Oreochromis niloticus: one gene and its partner. The protein of the gene in region 1 binds, or shares a complex with, the protein of each later gene. Links are inferred from orthologs where the notes say so. Each region holds a gene or a part of one and is shown in the gene's direction. Other genes may lie near its edges.

Region 1 (7,114 bases):
TCCTCCTCCTCCTCTGCACTAATCTCCTTGTGCCCCACTGGATTGACTGCTTCACCTCTCGCTACACTGTGACTCCCCCACCCCGCACCCCTCAGGACGCATCGCTGACTGGCCTCATTTTTGCAGGACCTCCTCCTCCTCCTCATCTGCCTTGCTCAGATGAAGCATGAGTAACAGCCACAGGCACAAGGTGTAATGTTGGCAAAGAAAAAGCAATAACAGGAGCATGATCCTCAACAGGAAATTAGCTTTGGTGCAGGTGTCAATGTATGCTGATTAGAATAACGTTTGCAGATAAATATCACTCATGAGATTTTTCAATCATGCCTGCAATAACAGCATGTAGCGTTCTGAAACAAACAGATTTGATCTCCCATTTCCCACTGTGCTTAGTGCTTAAATGTACTGGTCACATTACAACTAAAAGGGCCCTCTTTATAGGTACTTAAAAGCCCCCTCACACACACACACTCAATATATAAGGCTCCCATGGGGTTTGGGGGCCACCAATATAGAGTTTAGCCTTGGAGTCGCTTTGTATTTCACATTTGGTGTTTCTATAGCAACTGTGGACAAGTGGACCCCCCTTTATTTTGAACACCATTAAATACCCCACCCCCGTCTTGAGTTTAGTGGGGTTTCCCACACACACACACACATACAGACACACACACACCAATAGGCGAGGCTGTGTCTAGCTCTAGTTTAATTGGTAATGAAAGCTCAGGGATTGAAGAAGAGCGTTCAACAACCTTTTTAAGAATTTCAAGCTTTTTATGACTGAGAAACACAGTAAAACACGTTTCAATCGTTTGCAACAGGTGCACTAAGGATTTGATGTATAAATGTACTTCTTGGGAATTTTTTTTAAGTATTAGAGAAAATAAAGCAGATCAAAGACTTAAAGAAATCCTAAGTGCACAATAAAGGGAATGTAAAATATCACATTTTTGGCTTCCACTTCCACACTTCCAACAAACTTTTTTGTGATTCTGACTTGGAAATCATCGCTCACTTGGTGCATCAGGTTCTTTTAAAGATCCTCTTCAACAGTCTGAATACAGCGTTGTCCCTGATAGCTTTGGAAGTTCTCTCCCACAGGGTGTCCTCCTTCCACATACCCCGACCCTTCCTCTCAGCTTTCACCTCTGCCCTGTGCAGTCGTCTGTGGAGACGCCAGTAGAGGCGCGAGTCAGGGAGGACACCAGCTACGGGGGCAGTGCGAGCCAGTCCGAGCCTGAGTACCTCTTCGTTCATACAGTAGCTCCTCAATGACCCCTTCTGGAGAGATGCGAGAAGACAGGGAAATATCACTTTATAACTTGAAATTAATTACTCAATTTTCCACATAAGGTTTCTCTTACCCTGCTTTGAGACACCAAACAATGCAATATGTCGTCCTCTCGGCTGATAAGCTTCAACCACACCATTTGGGAAGGGGCCACGTTCTTCTCCAGCCATAGTTTCCCCTGTGGTGTCAGCTCCACTCCTGCAAGATGGACCAGCAGCAGGGATGTAGACACATCTGAAAAGAAGAAAGACAAAGCATTTACCTGACATTTTATGTATTCTGTTTAGAATATGAATTTTGAGCAAGGCCTGAAACTGTATTTTTTTAGTAGTGTAAGCATAATGTAACAGTTTAGTGGTGTCACTACTGAAATGTTGCATTTTACATTTAATAATAAAGAAAAAAAATTGTTGTTAGATGCAAAGACAAATTGAACCCTCTCTATACTAAATGACTGATCAGGTTTGAAATGTTGAGTCAGGTGGGGCAAACGTGTTATCTGTGTCCTCGGTGAAGTAGCTGATGCTGCACCTTATGATTTCATTGCTCAGTGACTACTATGACTTGATATAGCAGCTAACAGGCTTACCTGCCACTTTCAGTCATGGCAGTTTAATAAAATATATCCGACTTTGCAAAGTAAAAACGCCACAATTATATTATGGTGCAAAAAGATGAAATAATTACGCTGCTAAGCCATAGATTAGTGGCTCTGAATAGTATAGACCGTGTATTTCTAGTGTGATAGTGCACATGCTTTCATGATCTTCTCTCTCCTGTATTACCCTTATACTTTGAAAGTAATGGAGAGATAACAGGCAGATAAATTGGGACGTGCTCCACTTTAAATCCTTTCTCTGTGATGGAATGGACTTTCCCACGAAGGCTGACGTTCCTCTCAATAAAACGTGTGGGGATGTCACACGCAGCTTGAAATTTTGTGATCTACAGAGGTGGAACAGACAAGTGAATGACTCATTCTAGAAAAACACAGAAAAAATGACATCCTATGTAGTAGGATGTCGATTTGATAGAGCGAATTGAGATAGCACACAACATTTTGAACATTTGAGGGTCTTTCTCCCTTACCAGTTTGATACTCCTTGCTATGACAATTACACCAGCAATGGCCAGTCCAGTGCTTATATTCTGTGGGAGACAAGGGAAAAGTAAAGGGATGAGAGTGATGTTGCCAACCAGGCTAAAGTGCTGGTCACTGATAATGCACATGAGCACTATACTCTGCTGGGGACAACTAGAGAAAGGACATCTGGTCAGCGCCATGAAGGCTTTTGCATGAGACCACAGTCCTTCCTTTCAACATATAGGGTACCACCAAGTGAAAGATTAAAAGCAGATGCAGGCTGACAGTCAAGTAACCATGCTGTCTATGCATCCCAGCTTTCAAACAAAGGAGACTCCTACCCGCACGAGCGTTAAATTATCATCTGCGAACTGAGATAGTAAAGTCACGATGTTATGAGACACCGGGGTTTCTTCCTTTCTTTGTTGTCTGTCCCTCATTTCCTCCTCACTTTCTGTTTCTCTGGAAGTCTGCGGCATGTTGTTGACATTTTCTCGAAGCATCCGAAGCCCCGCCCACTCGGGGGAGGGAAGTTTCACCATTGAAGGCTCGTGCGGAGGCTCCGCCCTGTGGTCTGCTGTGGAAATGACAGGAAGGTGTGCACGTCCAATGCGTGTGAAAGCATCAAGTTCACAGCCCGTGTGACATAAAAAGCACCAAAATAACCAGCCCGGTGGATGGCGAAGCTGTTTACTTAGCGCTGCAATAACGTTGAGGAGGGGGTAGAGAAAAAGTTGTCCATGCAAAAATGCAGCTGAGGTTCACATTATTGAACACCGCTGGGATCAGTGACGTATCCATCTTTGTCTACACAGTTTGACCTAGATTTCTTCATTATTTAAAATCTTCCCTTGAATTTATTTGTTTATGTCTGTTTTTGTTGTTGTTGTTAGATTTAAAAAGTATAAAGATTTAACTCGTGATTAATGCCTTTTCTATCAGGTGCAATCCACCTGTTCTGAAATGCACACAAATTTAAACTGCAGTAACATATTTGCAGATTCATCTAGAACAAAGGGGTTTTATTTGATTGAACTGAGTTTGCTTCTTAAGGGTTGTTGCAATGCATGAAAAAGTTTGTTTATATTAATTTCAAAGTAAATTTCAAAAATGCACTTAAATAAAATCTCAGTACTGAATGTGTTTTTTTCTTTATTGTTCATTTTCCCCATATATACATATTAATTTGTCAACTATATGTATGTAGCCTGATCAGTGTTTGTGTTTCATGCAAATGTTGGTTCTTTATTTGCACCACTGTATTCCTGAAAGAATTTCAGTAATAATTATAAAAATAATAATAACTAGATGACTTCGTGTCATCTAGTTATTATTATTCAATGCACAAAGCAAACGCCCCCAGAAGACAATAGAATAAGTCAGTTGGTTTTGTTTTTTTTTACCTTTACATAACAATGCAAACAAACACACATGTTCCCACCACCAACAATAATTCACCAAATATTTCCCATAACTGTCCATGCAGCAGATGTTGCACAGTGAAACATGCACGTTAACAGGCATCACTGAGGAGTGACCACTGCATGACAGATGCACTGGAGCTTTCATCTTGTAAACTGTGAAGTCATGGAGCTACTTGAAGCTGGATCACGCCCCCATTACCACAAATTGGCCAATAGGAGCTAAGAGGCAGAGTTGTCCTCCTGGCCGCCATTAAAGAATTCAATACATGAACTGAAATAATGGAAATCTGCAGGACCTATGGAGCAGGCAGAGAAGAGTAGCTGATGAGTAGTCACGCTAGTTTGGGGTGTTTCATTCGTTTTAAGGGTAGTTTTAATATGACGGAGCACCATGGTGGTTTTGGTGAAAAGGAGGGCGGCGTAGCGGGTTGTTTTATTTAGCTGGCGAGCTAACGCTGGAGCTCTGGTATGTTAGCGAATGTGTTAGCAGGCTAGGCTAGCTCAGGGGGAGGAGGGGCGAGTTCCTCCGCTTTGAAATTGTTTCAGAGCAGCTAGCTGCCATTAGCATTAGCATACCAGCATCTAAGTTTTTCTTTTAAGTTTTTGAGCTCGTATTTTTATTGCGCATTTAACTTTTTCCGGTGGTGTATTTAACGCTAGTCTTTCTTCGATTTGTTATCGATGATTATTTAATGTTGAGGTGATGTAGCCGCAAGCTTGCGGCTAACCAGATCAGACAATACATTTCAAATAGGATTGATGAATCGTATAGCGAGAAGCTTACAGTTGACGCGTTCTGGCTGTCTGTCTAACGTTAGCTTAGCTGCCAGGCTAGTGGTGGTGGCTAGCGCCGGTTAGAAGTTGACTGTTTGGCTAGCGTCAGCTAGCTGAAGCTAGCAAGTTGGCAGCGCTTTAACGGGATAATTAGAGCTGAACATAGCTTCGCAAGCGAGTTACCCAGATCGGCTATTGCCCCCCGAAGGTGATTGAGAACATGGATTTTAACGTTACAACTACGCAGTGAAAGGATGAGTTCGTGCTTTGTACCAAACGGGGCCAGTTTGGAGGACTGCCACTCCAACCTCTTCTGCCTGGTAAGACTCTGTTCTGTGAGCTAGCGAGCGTTAGCGATCCTGAGAGGCCAGAAAGCCATTTTGGCTAATAAGGCAACAAGCCTTGTAACGTCAGTTGCAGATTGGAGTGAAGGCATCGGGCCTGCAACTAACAAATCGTGATCTGAGCCAACTTTCATAACAGAGCCAGCACATTCTGCATGACAACTATTTTGAAGGCTGGTTGATAAATATGGCACGATCTTGTGTTTACACTGCACTGAGTGCTAAAATATTCCGCTAGCAATAACGTTATTTACATGGTGGTAAAAAGAACAACTAAACGAGCAGTTTCTCTAAAACCAGCTGAACATATTGTTTTTCCTTGATTTAAACTGCACTGCATGCAAATTAATTGTGGCTGTCACCAACCATTTTGAGACAGACCAGTCTGGTTTTAAACTGACAGGTCTGTCATTGGTTGTTAACTTGCTGGTTGTAAATTATTTCCTTATAGTTGGGTGTTATGGCTTCAGGCGTGATCATCTTGGCAAGTGTAAAGAGTACAGGAAAACTTTCAACAGTGTAAACAAACCTCAATTTTCAGCTTTGCTTATTCAAAGTTTCCTTTTTCTGTTTTCTCAATATAATTGTAGGATCTATACCTTTACAATATAAAGCACCTAAGGCAACTGTTGTTGTGATTTTGCACTATATAAATAAAATAAAATTAATTGAATTGAAAGTAATTTTAGCAGCAAAGGCTGTCTTGTTACTGCAGTGTGTTAGGTCAAGATGCATGAAGAGTTGTGCAGTAAACAACTGGAAAATGGCTTTATGCTTTGCAGTTATTCTCTGTGTCTCTGTGTTCATTCTCACATTCTCACATCACTATTCTTCTTCTCTTTAAGGCTGATTTGACTGGAATAAAATGGCGGCGTTTTGTGTGGCAAGGACCCACCTCCTCGCCTATCCTTTTCCCTGTGACTGAGGAGGACCCAATCTTGTGCAGTTTCAGCCGATGCTTGGCGGCAGATGTGTTGAGTGTTTGGAGGAGGCACCACACCCCGGGTCGCAGAGAGCTCTGGCTTTTCTGGTGGGGTGATGACCCCAGTTTTGCAGAGCTTATCCACAATGAGCTCTTAAGTAAGTGCATTTAACCTCTCCACGAATACTGCAAGATTTGTGATTCTGACAGCATCAGAGTTTATTAGATGAAAATGTTTATTTCACTTCACTGAATTAAATTCCAATATTATTTGGTGATTTACCCCAAATTATATGTGGACTCTTGTGCTTTCACAGCACTTAGTTCAGTTTGTGCCATCTGAACAATTTTAAATTGAAGTGTGTAATTGTTGATATTAATAACATACTTCCTAGAGATGCTGTCCTGAAATGCTTACTGTATCAAATATTTTTCTTACACATTTTTGATGATGCAAAGTCTGATTAAAAATAATTTCTAAGGCCCTTGAATTTGTGGCTAACTGGTCTTTGAATGTCTTTAAAGCCTTGTGGAATTGATTGGCCCACGGCCACAGAGACACAGACTTGCATGGTAGGATTAGAACAAGTTGTTGTGCATCATAGTCACCTGACACACCTCTGGATTTCTGGAGATTCAATCCTGCTTTGTTGATATTCATATTCATATTCTTAGAGAAAAAGTACCCTTAGGGGCTAACACACAGGTATTTTGTCCCAGGTGGGGTGAAGTGTTACTTGCAGAAATTGCTCATTAAAGAGACAGAGTTGGCAACAATTTTTCAAATCTCTCTTGAGCTCCAAAGATAGTTGGAAATTTGAATTTTCCACTATGCAGGGAGTATAGCTCTTGATGATCAGAGAGGAATGGCATGAGTAAGCTTCACCTAATCTAATAATTTCTCTGTAATTTAACAAAATAGTTTATTTTCTGTTACATAAGTCAGTAACTGGGTTGAAGCCTTTTATTTTGGATCACGTCATTACATAACAGCAACTAAGACTTTTATTAATATTAAATGTTTTCCTGTATTTATACGCGGTAGAGCAGGTGTAACTGTGGTCTTCTTGTTTTTTGCACAGCCAAATTAAGGCTACGCATGTATGACAAAACCAAGTACATTTAACACTGGTTAGCTTTATCAGGAAAAAAAGCTTTGATTGTTAAAGTCATCATGTTTGCATCTGCCTTGTTTCAGGTGAGGAGGATGGTGAGTGGGAAAGTGGCCTATCCTATGAGTGTCGAACTCTCCTGTTCAAAGCCATTCACAACCTG
Region 2 (7,311 bases), on another chromosome or scaffold:
AAATCCATAATTAAACTTTATTTTATTACTTTTCATTGCTGGTCCATGATTTCACAGAAAAAGGTAATTTTCTATGAAGATTTTTAAAAAATACTATCAGATCTAATACTCTGTGCAGGGGTGTGTCCAGAGGAGGTCATGGGACGGAGCTGTCTAACCATAATATAACTGAATTAATTATCTTTGAACTAATGACACAAATACAATTTTAATGCATTCATTTAAATATATCTATGTTACTCCACTTTCTGCTTCCAACTCACTATATGTTGGATCCAAATATTGTACTTTGTTCTCCATGTCATTTATTTTAAAGCTTTTAGATATGATTTTAAAACATAAATTTAAATTTTGCCTTTTTTATATGTTTTTGTTTTATTTTTTGTTTTTTTAATATCTTTTTTATAGTTTAAAGTGATTTACACATTAATGAATAATTGTGATCTAACAATATAATGCCTGTGCTTCTGGAAAGGCCCCTTCCCTTTACTTCAGGTATCTTATTTATTGCTAAAACTTTTCATACTAATACTAAGTCAGATTTTGACATTGCTACTTCACCACTTTGCAAAATAGTTATCCAATGCTGAACAATTTTCAGGCTCTTGTGCAGCACAATTTTTTATGTATTACATTGTTTCAGGTTGCACACAAGCCTACAAATCACACCCAAGGTTTTCAACACAAATTTTTCTACATTGGATTTATTTCTGATCAAATATTACGATTTCCTGTTGGCTGCTTTTCTTTCACATTCCTGGAAACGCCTCTGGTAACCTATTTGTCTGGTAACCTATTTGTGTGGATGCCACTGTATCAGCATGCTGGCTGTGATTACCTGTTGTGAGGCGACCATCTGGCCCTCAGCATCCCAGCTGGGTACCAATGTCAGGAGATGGATTGTCTTTACCACACCACCTGGACCTTGCAGACATAGATAGCTACGGCACCAACTATATTTCTGATTCATATTGTATTATGTAATTCTCTGACCAAACAAGGAACATAAGAGGAAAAAAAAAAGAAAACACTGTCTGGTCTTCCAAAGGCATACACAGAAAGCAGGCCTTCTGTAATTGCTTGGCAACTGCTGGCATTGTGTGAGTTGAAGTTCAAAGCAGCGAGACACACTGTATATTCCTCTAAGCGGCAGAAAGCATCAGAGTTGCAAAGTAAAGGGATGCCTACGCAGGCACATTCACACACACACACACACACACACACGAACATTCACCATCCATTCTGTCAGTTTAATTTGGCCATGATGCTCATTCAAAATAAAAAAGCTCTGTGGGGGAGCTAATGTTTGCATCCAGGGGGTAGCCTTGGGCATAAACCCTCCCTCAGATGAACTTTCTTTAGGTCGCCTGAAGCGTTCTTGCTTACTGACGCCCAAATGGAAAAGCTGCTTGAGCCCACAGCTTGTTGCCCTCCTTAGAATTTAGGTTAAATTGATGTGGAGCATTGTTTCTGTGGGAGGGTTTGAGCTTGATTAGCTCTGAAGCGCTTTGCTGAATGCTGTGCTAAGCTGACTGACTGGCTGGCATTACCACAGGGAAGGGGATGCTATTGTTGGACCCACAGAAGCAGCATGCCGATGTGTTACAACTACAGGTTAGCCTCTGGTGTATTGTGCTGATCTGACAGCAGTTAATGTGCCGATAGCTGCTGTGGTAATTATATTCTTGTTTCCAGCACTGAGGTTGCAAGGGGAATGAGAAAGCCTTTTTATAGAACAATGAAGTTATGAAACCATGAAATCCAGAAAAAAGCAACAACTAGGTTAAGCATGTCAAGCCTAAAAATCACAGGTCATGCTTTGTGGTGAAGATGTTTTTCTCAGTACCATGGATTTTGTCTTGGTAGCTTTTCCTATATGTAACTTACTCTAGACACATAGCTACTATAGATAAACAGTCTGACACTAAATTAAAGGAACTTTAGGTTAAAATCTGTAGCCTGCTCTCTGATAAGACCATCATCAGTTCATCATCGCTAGATATTTGCTGACATCTGCTGGAGGTCTGGATCAAAAGCACTTGGATATCTCCAGCGTTCGTCCTCAGAACCCTGTTCGAAACACAAAAGAGAAGATAGTCTGTTTTTTGTTTTTTTGTTTTTTGCTGTGGCAACACTCAAAGATTTCAATTTCTGTCTTTTCAGTACTGAGCACAAGTTTGTATTAAGCAAATTAACATGTGATTCCTGTCCTTTGCACTTCGAGGGATTTCATCTGAATGCACCTGCCATTGTTGTCTGTAATAGTCAACTGTCTGGATTTTTAAAGTCTAGATTTTTAAAGTGTAGATTTCAGTTTTACCCTTGAGGAAAGCCCTCTGGCTGCCTCAGGTTGGTCATTAGATAGATTTAAGGAAAGATAACTGGAGCCCTTCCTCATCACTCAGGCTACTGGCAAAGCACTGAAAAGCAAAGATGAGGTTTAGAAGTCTGAGCCAAGACAATATTCACTGATGACCCTGCACCTCCATGCTTCATTATGTGGAGCAATATATATTGAGGGCATTTCATTTTCAGTAATTGCTTACAAGTAGCCAGATAGCAGAGACGTCTGGGCCTGCTCTGGGCACTTACACATCAGTTATGGCAATGGCAAATGTTTATGGGCCAGACATGGTCTAAAAAGTCATGAAGTGGGTTCCACCAAGTTAAGCGTGGGCTGGAAGTGACCCAAACACTTAGTCATACCTTTGGAAGCGAGAAAATACCAACACTGTGAATGAAGAATTAATGGCTTGACTGTTTTTTGTTTTGTTTCTTTTGTTATTGTTTTGATGTTGTTGTTGTTTTTATTCAAAATAGAACTAGATGAATTTAGCATTTAGGAAAACACCTGGACAGATCATGCTCTTAAATGTTATTGTGACATTATTTACATGCATGTTGCCTCCTCAACACTTTACGGTTTAGTCTCTGTGTTTCCTACTTCTTTTCATTTTATATATAATTCATCATCCAGTGCATATTACTCTGCATACTAGATCAGGTGACCTCTAACCATCCTTTATTCATGCTGCTATAGGCTCAGACTGCTGGGGAATTTCTGTTTATATGTCACAACTCCATGTTACCAAAACTTTGTCTTCTGTCCCTTTTTGTTTTTTATCCTCATCTCTCCACGCTCCCCTTCCCCACTGTCACCACGTTCTTGGTCATAGGGGATCATCTGAATGTTGGGATTCTCTCTGTCTAATATTGTGTTCACCTTGCAATAGAACGCACCTTGAGCTGACTGTTGTTGAATTGGTGCTATTTAAATAAAATAAACTCAAAATGAATTGGATATAATCAGGGTCTTGGCCTTCAGTAAGCCTAAGAAGACAACAAATAAATTCTCTTCTTATCAGTTATAGAAGAAACAAGGTAACTGGACTTCTTTAAGCTTGCAAAGACCCGTATTTACATGTGCCACTGAATTTAATCTGCTGTTCAATAAATGAATATCTGAAATGCTTGGATTGTATTTGTTGTCGTGGCTGTAGCTGTATTTTCTATTGCATGGTATACGTTTGCAAAAGCACTTGTTTAGGTACATATCTGCTATTTGGGACCAGACAAAAACATCTTTGACTGATGAGGACCAAAGCTATTAGTTTTGCATTTTCTAATTAGATTTCATTTTTATTTCATTTTTATTTTGAGTTTTAAGCTCAGTTTAGTGAACTGGCAATACTTTGGTTTAGTTTTTTAATGTCTGAAAATGTTTAGATTTAGTTTAGTTTTCATTACTATCAGGCGTTGGTTTTATTCTTTGTAAGGGGTATTAATGTGAATTGTTACTTTTTGTGAAACCGATATTGAAACAGTGGTTCATTTATTCTGGTATTGCTGGTTTACGAAACATCTCTGGAGCATACTTTCACGTTTTGTTTCTGATCATGGTAACCCTAATTTTTCATTATCCTGGAAGAACGTTTTGCTTGGTTACAGTGATATTGACAGTGTATTCACTCATCCAAGTTCTCCAGTCGTAAGCCAAATTTCACTGGATTACTTTTGATAATAAAGCATTACATTTTCTCAGTAATGGACAGCGAGAATTGAAAATACCTTAAAACCGTGTCATCGTCTTAAAGACTTTAATATACTTCTATAATTTTGTGTGTTAGAACGGCTTGAAAACCCTGGTATTTTGTGTTTATGGTAATTCCCAAGTTGTATCGTTTTCGTTTATTTTCCTTGTACTCCTTTCGGTGTTCTTGACAACCTGATGTATGCCATGTTCCGCTTTGTTGTTATTAATAAAGTTTTTTGGGTTTTTTTAGATTCTTGGCCTCTCGTGGGCGTGTCGTTTCGTCACTTCCGTCAAAAATACAACAAATGCTCAGGCTAACTGTGCTGTGTAGTTCAAGTTAATTTTTAAAGTTATAGTTTGGTCCAACCGGTTCAGCGGTTCGTCGGACAGCCACAGTCCATCAGGTCAGTCTACATCACTTAACAGCTTGATAAAGGCTTGTTAATTGGGGCTATTTGAACTATATTAGCTTAAATCGCTCACTGACGTTTGCTGTGCTAGCTAACGCTAAAACGAAAGCTGTGCGCACTTCAGCTGTTGTTGACTTCGTTAGCTTGCGTTTTACCTCCCCTTGGCGATAATGTCGATTAGCAATATTAATTATGGATTAATGATTAGCGATTTGAGTACCAGCTAGGTTTTAGGTCCTACCTTTAAAACTGGAGCGCACAGCTATCGCAGCAAACATCTGGTATTTTATCACCGGTTTAAAAAAAAAAAAAAGAAAGGAAAAAAAGAAAATATATTTCTCGCAAGTGTGCTACATTGAAAAACACAAGTGCTGTTTTTGTTTTTCTTTGAGAAAGAATAGAAAACTGTTACACCTTCACAGAGGTGAAGTCACATGCTTCCATCGTACTGTAGCTGCTGGATGTCCGTGAAATCACTATCTTACATTGGAGTGTTTCAGCTCAGAGTGATTTACTTGTGTATCTGACAAAACAGAAACGCAAAAAAGCAAATAACATAGATAATCGAGCTCGAATTAAGGTAAGAGATCAAACAGGAAATTAAACAAGGTAACGCTAAAGATGGTATCCCAAAAAGTTGAAGCTGTTCATATGGACTTTGCGTTTTCAGTTGGAGAAACGTTTCGTCACTCAACCAAGTGAGTTCTTCAATCTCAGTTGACTGCAGGTTATAAACAGTGCATTTGCATAATGACTAAAACTAACACCACTGGTGACTATTGGTTTGTGGGGTCAGTACTGTACTGTTTAATCCATGGGTAGCTTCAGATACTTACTCAATAGCTGGAAGCATGCATATATATATAAAAAAAAAAAAAAAAAACACCCAGCACGCCCCTGCGGGCGGTTTATCCTTCAAGCTCGGGTCCTCTACCAGAGGCCTGGGAGCTTGAGGGTCCTGCGCAGTATCTTAGCTGTTCCCAGGACTGCGCTCTTCTGGACAGAGATCTCCGATGTTGTTCCCGGGATCTGCTGGAGCCACTCGCCTAGCTTGGGAGTCACCGCACCTAGTGCTCCGATTACCACGGGGACCACCGTCACCTTCACCCTCCACATCCTCTTGAGCTCTTCTCTGAGCCCTTGGTATTTCTCCAGCTTCTCGTGTTCCTTCTTCCTGATATTGCTGTCATTCGGAACCGCTACATCGATCACTACAGCCGTCTTCTTCTGTTTGTCTACCACCACTATGTCCGGTTGGTTAGCCACCACCATTTTGTCCGTCTGCATCTGGAAGTCCCACAGGATCTTAGCTCGGTCATTCTCCACCACCCTTGGGGGCATCTCCCATTTTGACCTCGGGACTTCCAGGTTATACTCGGCACAGATGTTCCTGTACACTATGCCGGCCACTTGGTTATGGCGCTCCATGTATGCCTTGCCTGCTAGCATCTTGCACCCTGCTGTTATGTGCTGGATTGTCTCTGGGGCATCTTTACACAGCCTGCACCTGGGGTCTTGCGTTTTCAGATATATGTCCAGATGAACAGAATCAATTTTGGGGGATTTACTTACCTGGATGATTGAGCATGCATCAAGACACTAAAGATAGTAGTTCGGACAATATTAAAAAAATTAAAATGTAATGTTTTCTAAATGAATATATATGAAATGTGAAGTGAATTTACATGTTTTTGCTTTTGTTTAGTTTGAAAGGAAAATAAACAAGCACAACTTTGTTGACGCTGTTGTCCTGACTTTTGAATAGGGGTTTGAATTGTAGCCCAATGTGTCTGTCTTCTCACTGTGCTCCAGAGTATACATACGGATCATAATAGATGCCATAAATACCACAAGGGCCTTTCATCCAAGTTTTAACAAAAGTGATTTTTAGAATTGTTTTGTCATTTTCAATGTCAATTATATTATGAATTATATTTGTTGAATCAAGATTCAAGAGTATCAGAAATGCATTAAAATAGAAAGGTAGGTGAGAGGCTTAGAGTTACATGTACCAAATCCTGCTAATGCTGGTGTTGAAGAAATGAGTCAGACTAAATTTATTTTATGTCTTTTAACCAAGAAATGTTTTTCACACCTAATTTTGGTTGTTATTGTAGTTTTTTTTTTTTTTTTTAAACTATGATAACTTTCTCCTCTGTATCTAGATCTATGGTGGCAGGTTCGGCACTCATGGAGCCATCCAGTAAACCTGGGCCCAACCAGGTGGCTGATGTGGTGTTTGTCATTGAAGGGACAGCGAACCTTGGACCATACTTTGAATCTTTAAGAAAAAATTACATACTTCCAGCTATTGAGTAAGTATCTAAAGCTACCCATTGTTTCCTAAATCATTAATGTCATGTAGCTATGAATTAATTTTATTTCATTCACCACAGGTATTTTAATGGAGGGCCTCCAGCAGAAACAGATTTTGGTGGAGATGTGAGTGTTACTCTAATTCCTGTTTTCTAGCTTTTTAACTGCTTATCCAACTTAAGGTTGGGTTGGGGGGGGCTAAAACCTTTCCCAGCTGACATAGGGCAAGAGGCAAGGTACACTGTAGACAGTCTAATCTCTGTTTTTAATGCTTTAGCTTGCATTCCCTGTCACTGTTTGCTGAAATTCAGATATCTTTTTTGAATTCTGTGGATGATTTATTATTACTATTTTATGTTTTCTAGTACGGGGGCACACAGTATGGCCTTGTGGTCTTCAACACAGTGGACTGTGCTCCGGAGTCATATGTCCAGTGTCACGCGCCAACCAGCTCAGCCTTCGAATTTGTCTCCTGGATCGACAACATCCAGTAAAAATTATTTCCCTATTACACCTTTTAAACTGCCCCTTTGTTCTAATCATGAAGAGAAA

Evidence for each region. Proteins that work in one complex are often made in the same cells at the same time.
Region 2: mediator of RNA polymerase II transcription subunit 13-like (region 1) and med25 share a complex: the UniProt entries of both Homo sapiens proteins name them as parts of the mediator complex. The link is inferred for Oreochromis niloticus from reciprocal best matches to the Homo sapiens genes MED13 and MED25.

What each region holds. Positions count from the first base shown.
Region 1 is NC_031979.2:25,761,893-25,769,006, forward strand, and holds the start of mediator of RNA polymerase II transcription subunit 13-like, read left to right. Parts: upstream 1-4,023; 5' UTR 4,024-4,827; coding exon 4,828-4,893; intron 4,894-5,762; coding exon 5,763-5,997; intron 5,998-7,037; coding exon 7,038-7,114. Other genes in the region: c18h3orf33 (protein C3orf33 homolog), read right to left, coding at 1,024-1,281, 1,365-1,525, 2,077-2,236, 2,381-2,440, 2,717-2,917. UniProt on the Homo sapiens protein: Component of the Mediator complex, a coactivator involved in the regulated transcription of nearly all RNA polymerase II-dependent genes.
Region 2 is NC_031969.2:29,553,702-29,561,012, forward strand, and holds the start of med25 (mediator of RNA polymerase II transcription subunit 25), read left to right. Parts: upstream 1-4,279; 5' UTR 4,280-4,437; intron 4,438-4,885; exon of another isoform or gene 4,886-5,023; intron 5,024-6,608; 5' UTR 6,609-6,612; coding exon 6,613-6,758; intron 6,759-6,839; coding exon 6,840-6,885; intron 6,886-7,124; coding exon 7,125-7,249; intron 7,250-7,311. UniProt on the Homo sapiens protein: Component of the Mediator complex, a coactivator involved in the regulated transcription of nearly all RNA polymerase II-dependent genes.